Linked DNA regions of Drosophila melanogaster. The protein of the gene in region 2 interacts with the protein of the main gene of each other region in a pairwise test. Each region holds a gene or a part of one and is shown on either strand. Other genes may lie near its edges.

Region 1 (3,804 bases), on a different chromosome or scaffold from region 2:
GCCGGTTGCGTTCTTTTCCTTGGATGCGTCTGGTAGATAAGTCTTCTCCAAATCGATTCCACTGCAGCAAAGCGATTCCTTGTGCCACTTTAAACAGCACTGGCGCATTGCCTCAAGGACATCCAAGCACTTGTCCTCCTGGTAGTGATTCTCTGTAACCGAGTGCAAGTCAGCTTACATAACCATGAAAATGGAGTCACCGGCGGTGCTTACTGGTCAGACAGGCTTGTATGCGGCAGGCGTTCGGTTTGCAGGGATCCTTGCGAGTGTCAGACATGTAATCCTGCCCAGAATTCTTACGATATTAAATCGCTCTTGCAATATGTGAAAAGTACTTGGAAGTGTTCTGCACTCTTCTTCTTCTTGGCGGTTGTAGTCATTCACAGTGCACGATCAAGGTAGCCAGACTGCGCGACGGTCAGCTGTGTAGGAAACCTAATACATCAAAGCAAAATAAAAAACAATCACATAAATAACAACAAAAAGAAATAACATCTCTTATAATGTACAAAAATTTTTAATCTTTCAAATTTTGATATTAATACCTTTTGCTTCCCTGTGAATACCCCGCCTGCTGCGAGAGCAACTGCCATTCACCCATCGACGCCGACAGTTGGGCACCAAGGAACTGTTCTTGTGTGAAAAACACACACACATTTGTTTTATTTCACTAGGACTCTTGACGATTACTTCACAAATCGGAAAATGCCATCGAAAAAGAAAAAATACAACGCACGCTTTCCGGCGGTAAGTTGAAACCACCGATTGGCGACAGGAAAGCTCCAGCCATTTGGCGGCCGTGAACGCCGAAGATGGGTTATCAGTTTTCGTGCATGTGTACATACATATGTACATACACGCCTCGCATAATCAGAGGCTCAAAAGAAGTAGAGGAGAAACCAAACCGGTGCGAGATTATAATGTTTCCAAACCATTACCATAAACTCCTTGCAGGGTCGCATCAAGAAGATCATGCAAAGCGACGAGGAAATCGGGAAGGTGGCCCAGGCGGTGCCTGTTATCATCTCACGCACGCTGGAGCTCTTCGTGGAGTCGCTGCTGACCAAGACGCTGCGCATCACGAATGCGCGCAACGCCAAGACGCTATCGCCATCGCACATGAGGCAGTGTATCGTATCCGAGAAACGCTTTGACTTCCTCAAGGAGCTGGTCCGCAACATACCCGACATCAGTGTGGCCGAGGAGGCCGCCTACAACGAGGACGATGTGTTACGCAGCTCGCCAGAGGAACAGTATCCAGATTCAGACACGCCATATGATCTTAGCCTGCCATCGACGTCAATGCGCTCGCAGGCGAACGGCACAGCTGCCTACATGCGCTCCATGAGTCTGAACAACGGAGCCGGATCGGGCGGAGGAGCCGCAGCCACCAAGCGGCAGTTTCAGTCGCAGCACTCCACCCAGGAAACTCCCACCACCAGCACCACCCTGCCCGCCAAGCTGGCCCGCTCCGGGTCCATGCCGGCCTACACGCCACGGGGCAGACCGCCCAATCACCTCAAGAAACAGTCGGTGCAGCTCGATACTGCCATACCCGCCCCGATCTGCAACTACGAACTCAACAAGCCCATTGTCAAGATCGACTACAGCCACGTGCAAATGCCGACGGCGAACCTGTGCACACCGGACGCCTCTGATTCTGGGTCAGGATCGGGCGCCGGATCTGGAGCTTTTAACTTCGACATAGCTGCTCCGGTGATCAATATCGATCTGACGAATATCGTGGCCGGTGGAGCACCTGGCAGTGGTGTGCCCCCCGCCTCTATTGGATTACCAGCGGCCACGCCGGGGGACAACAATAATGTGAACCAAATGGCTGGAAAGAGCAGCGCTCCCATCATTCCAAAGGCCACAGCGGCATCAGCGACCCCCACTGAAACCGTTTTCGAATTAGACGAAGACTATGACAATATTTGATTAGGATCTATGTGAATGCGCTTTTAAATTATTGATACATTAATATGTACTCTAGGTCTAAGAAATCACAATAACATTTTTTGCAAAATAAAGACCATGCTGGATTTTAAGCTGACGCAATGCGGAGTACTTTAAATAGAGAAAGAAAATTTATACATTCTAGCAGATAATGCTGTTTAATTTGCATACGATATTAAATCAGTTTATCTTTGAATTAGATGTACTAAACAAGTTCAACAATTATTGAAAATGTTTGCATTCATAGACACCATAAAAAAGCCGCCTCTGGGCGGCCGAAAGTCATTTATGCCCATCCCAGAGGCCAAGTTAGTTGACGATGTCGTCAGCTACATCGCCAAGCCAGAGTTCTATTCGACTGTTCCAGCGGCATTGAAGATGCAACGCCTTTTCTATGTGCAATACAGCGAACTGGCTGCCAAGTTGGAGACTGACCTCACAGCAGTGTTAACCCGTTTGGAGGCTGCCAAAAATAATTTGGAATTGGTGAGGAGGTTCATAGACAATCCTGACAAGGAAGTTCACAGCCTCGTGCAAATCGCACAGGGAGTATTCAGATGGGTGAGCATACCGCCAGTGCAAAAGGTTACCCTTCAAGTGGGCGCATCTCTGCAAATGGAATTCGAGCTGTCCGAGGCGGAGGAGTTCATCAAAAAGGACATCACCAGCCTGGTGAAGCAGCAATTGCAACATGAGCACGATATCGACTATCTGCAGGATCAGGTGAACACGATTGAGATGAACCTAGCCGTATTGTATAAACATGAAGTGGAGAACTAGAAGCATCCCACCATCCTTAAAATTGCTAGTACCTTGTAGTTGCTTATAAAGACATTCGTTCTAAATAAGTCTTTATTGTCTAAATGCCTTAATTTCCAACGAAGTACAGCTCTCCCTTGGAGTTCCCCACTAATTCATTCATTACAATTACATTATTAGCAGCCCGGTAAAGAGGTCAGAGTATCGGGACCGTAGGATCCCAGACTGTGCCCTACAAAATGTGACCTTTATTACCGAGCTCGGCTATTTACAAGCCTATACACATCATAATAATTATGACTTAATTTCGCCAGGGAGCACCGCTTAGTCATTGTGTAATCCTCGGTCACAGCCAATTACAATTGAATGCCTTTCAATCCCATGCCCATGCCTTCGTCCAGCTGTTACTCCAGCCCTCCGCATATTCGCACACGCAATCTGCCAGCCACAATTGATATTAATTTGTGCCCGATGTGGGTCAACCCATGATGTAGACTCCATTCCCTTCCAAGGATACCAAATTATATGGCAAAAGGACAAAACTGACCAGCAGATGAGCCACATATCGCGTGGGAAAATCTTATTGCAAGCGAATAAAATTACCCAACCGCTCCCAGTGAGCAAAGGTGCAGTTTTGAATTATATGAATTTTCATCCATGGGCTTGGCACACTAGATTAGGGTCAGCACTATTCCCGAATTTTGATTAGCCAAGCCCAAAGTCGAGATTAGATTGCTGCGCTCTCTCAACCAGATCAAGTGAATCCGCCAAAGAGTTTGGGCTCGGCTAATCGAAGCCCCTTCAATTGGGGGAATCAGATCTGCATCTGCACACCTGCACTCGTGGACTCCACGCTGTCCACCTGTCTTGAGTCATGGCGCAAAAAAAAAAGAGGTTAGAAACAATAAAAACAACTTGCGGCGCGCCGCCAGTGCCAAGTTTTCATGTCCAAGGCGTATTTATGTCAACCGGAAGTAGGTTTACTGACCCACGTATACCCGTGTGGCTGGCCAAACGTGGACTTCGGCTTTCTTCGGTGGTTTCTTCACCTAAACCCGACTGGTCAGTTGCCGTGGAGCTCCACGGCGC
Region 2 (3,839 bases):
CCCTTCCACTCCCGAGCCCCACACATATACTTTTTATATGTATTTGAGACTAAATATTGTCACCGATCTGCGTGCAATATGAACTCAGACATATCAAGGAAAAGACAAGACACACACACTAGCACACTTACACACGAAACACTCTAACACACACGCAAAATTCGAAGACACTGAAGCGAACCTACCTAGCTTTTCTACAACAACTGCTATTCAATGTGAGCGAACATTACTTTACCGTCGACTAATGAGGAAATCAAGCAACAATTTTACAGTATTATAGCAGCTTTAAGCGTATTTTTCGAAGCCCACGTGACGTATACACAATCAGCAGTCACCAGCACACTCACAGCTTACACCCACATACTATTACACAAGCACACATACATAGACGCGAAATTCGATATTCAGCAAGCCGCCATTAAATTCTGTATACATATTAATAATCGCATATATCATTTTGATGCGCTATATTAAAATTTTTGTCTCACTATCAATACCAATTAGTGTATCATTTTGGATTAGATATACAAAATACCTATATACACTCGATATACTACTACTAATACACGCACACTCACCTCACTCACACAATCACCAACTCACGCATTCGATCACTAGCGAAATTACTGGACATACTTCTCTCGAATTCTTAATGGAAACCAAGGCAAGGTATGCTGTAAATACCTAGGAAAGTACTATATATACATGAATATATATATATATATTTAACAACTAAAAAACATATATATACTGCATTTCAAGAAACTTTTGATATATTTTCGAGTTTTTTAAACCCTTATCTTGTATACAAAAAGGAAGCGAAAGCGAAAACACGAGACAAACTAGCGAATCTAGCTGAAATGAACACCTAGGACAATTACAATTACAAGTACATAGCGAAACACAGTACATACAGTACATACAGTACAGTACAGTACATAAACACAACTATATATACAGGACATACACGCATACATTCAAACTATACTATTTATAAATGTACATCTATACAAAATATACATACATGCATACCATATAACGTACGAGTATGTTTAACGATCAATGATTATTATTACGAATTACGTCCCTTCGATTTGATAATGAAACCAAACGAAAAGAAACCACAAATTTTAACGCTGTTGATAACCAAAACCATTCCCACTTATAAATGTAACACTCTCTCCCGACAACTTTCTCTCTATCTCTTCACAATGTTAATGCTGCACAATGAAAACTCTGCATTTAAAGTAAACCACTAACGTTTATTCGTTTCGATTCAAGAGAAAACCAAATTATATATAACTAATTATACAAATTTGCCTTGCGATTTAACAGCGAGCACACGATATTGAATCCAAAATCCAGATGGGGAGCTTAAAATATCCGCGATTAAGAAATCGAATCGACACGCCCTCAAAAGCAAGATCTTCTTCATTGTTTCAAAACGAATTACATTTTATTAAGATCAAAACCAAATCAAGGTAAATGTTATGTATGTATGATATAGTGGGAGGATCGCGAAGGACGAGTACAGTTAGTTGTATGGGTAAAATAACATAGTTAAAGCATATAACTTAATAGTTCAAGGATCGGAGGAGCAGCGATTGCGAGTGGGAGCGCATATAGAGGGGAACGATCGCAAGTATCGGAACTAAAACTTACTTCTACTTAGGCTTAAAATCATTGTTATCTAATCTATACATATATAAAAACCGACATACAACACCCCACATATAACAGAGAATATGTATATGAACATGTATTGGATGCGCGGCGCTTGAGCTGTGCCTACTTATATATATATAAATATATATATATTTAACAAATTGTAACGTGTATATGTAGCGGCAGTGATTGTTAAAGAAATTGCTTTGTTTTGTGTTAGATTTTATAATTTACGAGAAAACCAAAAACAAAAATTGTAAAACGCATACAAATACAGAATGACTGACAAAACACAGAATTATAACATTGCATATAATAAATACAATAAAACTATAATTGAAAAACAAGTTTGGTTAATGCTTTTTTGCTGAGTAAGATCTGTCTTTAAACTCAAAAGATATTGTAGATTCAGAAGTCACTGATTTTTTTTTTAAATTTTTACTTCGCGCTTAGTACTCGATAACAAATCGTCGGCGGGACTGGACTACCGACTATTTCAACGAATCATTCGATTCCCGATTGCTTCCGTGAAATCGATATTTTCTGACCCAGCTTCATGACATCCCTGTTGAGTTGAATACGCAAAGGTGGCAACCTTATACGGCGACTGAATAAAATAAAAGTGGAATTGTAAATTATAAGTGTAAGCACTAGCAATGGCTGCCACCCCAAGCGCACCCGCCAAGTCCGAGATGATCGACCTGACCAAGTTGAGTCCGGAACAGCTGATTCAGATCAAGCAGGAGTTCGAGCAGGTGCGTTCCGCATGTGGGTGTGTGATGAGTCAAGTGTGCTCGCGGAGGGGGTTTCTGGAGGAGGGGCGCCCCAATTGGCACATGCTTCTAAAATCGGTACATTTTTGTGATCCTTAGGAGATTACCAACGTACAGGACTCGCTGTCGACGCTTCACGGCTGTCAAGCCAAGTACGCCGGATCCAAGGAGGCGCTGGGAACCTTTCAACCCAATTGGGAGAACCGTCAGATCCTGGTGCCCCTGACCAGCAGTATGTATGTGCCAGGACGGGTCAAGGATCTCAACAGGTTCGTCATAGACATCGGCACCGGCTACTACATTGAAAAGGTGATTTACATTTCCAATCGAACCTAGAATATTTATTGATTGCCATCTGTTTCTCAAACAGGATCTGGAAGGCTCCAAAGACTACTTCAAGCGACGCGTGGAGTACGTGCAGGAGCAGATCGAGAAAATCGAAAAGATCCACCTGCAAAAGACGCGCTTCTATAACTCAGTGATGAGTGTGCTGGAGATGAAGCAGGCTGCTGCAGCGAAATTGCAGTCGCAGCAGCAATCGCAGCCGGCGGTTACCCAGAGCTCCTAGACTACGGAGAACGACAGAGACACGAGACACGGAAAGCATTAAATTATTAAACTTATTAACGAGATGTGTGCATTTAATTAACGTAGTTTATTAAATTGTTCAGCTATTTCTTGGCTTCTGCCAAAGCCTTGGTGAGAACCTTGACCTTCTGCTCGTACGCGGACTTAAGATCCTGTAGGGAAAGAAGGTAATAGTATATCAAGTATATCATTGGACTCGAGTTATAAGGCACCTTGAATATCTGTGACTGGGTGTCGTACTCCGAACGCAGCTTGTCATACACTCCTTTGGAGATGGCTAGTTTCTTCTCCGTGAGCACACACTTGTCTTGCTCCGCCTTGATCCACTGCTGGCTCTTCTCCAGACGAGCCTGCGTGTGATCACATTCGGCGGTCTTTAGCTGCAACATGTCCTTGGTCACCTGCAGCACATCCTTAATCGAGTCTACTTGTGTCCTAAGCACTGATATCTGCTGCTCCTGCTGTTTGTTCACCTTGGTCTTCTCGAACAGCAGGGTTTTGGCCTTTAGAAGCAGCTCCTCCTGCTCTTGTCGTGATTTGGGAGCATCTGTGCCGCCCAGCATGACGGACTGCTTGAGCGACTGCTCCAACTGGACCACTCTCCGCTTTAAACGCTCATTTTCCGCCTTGGCTTCCTGCAATCAGGGTCAGTAAGTGGGTGCAGCCCGTGGAGACGAGTAACTAACCTCAAAGTCTTTGCGGAGCGCTCCGATCCGTTTGCGAGACTCCTCTAGTAGTGCCTGTTTTTCGCTTTCCAACGTGAAAACCATGTCCAGCAGTTCGTTCTGCGGCTGCTCCGGCTGACGCACTTCC

Evidence for each region.
Region 1: the proteins of Pfdn5 (region 2) and CG15676 interact in a two-hybrid assay, tested with the Drosophila melanogaster proteins (2 studies listed by BioGRID).

Annotation. Positions count from the first base shown.
Region 1 is NT_033778.4:21,669,542-21,673,345, forward strand, and holds CG15676 (uncharacterized protein), read left to right. Parts: upstream 1-2,158; 5' UTR 2,159-2,187; coding exon 2,188-2,736; 3' UTR 2,737-3,304; downstream 3,305-3,804. Other genes in the region: CG42381 (uncharacterized protein), read right to left, coding at 1-152, 214-277; NC2alpha (negative cofactor 2alpha), read left to right, coding at 706-747, 955-1,938.
Region 2 is NT_033777.3:22,484,973-22,488,811, forward strand, and holds Pfdn5 (prefoldin 5), read left to right. Parts: upstream 1-2,066; 5' UTR 2,067-2,321; coding exon 2,322-2,420; intron 2,421-2,537; coding exon 2,538-2,747; intron 2,748-2,808; coding exon 2,809-3,006; 3' UTR 3,007-3,109; downstream 3,110-3,839. Other genes in the region: CG5376 (uncharacterized protein), read right to left, coding at 3,110-3,178, 3,239-3,661, 3,713-3,839. UniProt on the Drosophila melanogaster protein: Binds specifically to cytosolic chaperonin (c-CPN) and transfers target proteins to it. Binds to nascent polypeptide chain and promotes folding in an environment in which there are many competing pathways for nonnative proteins.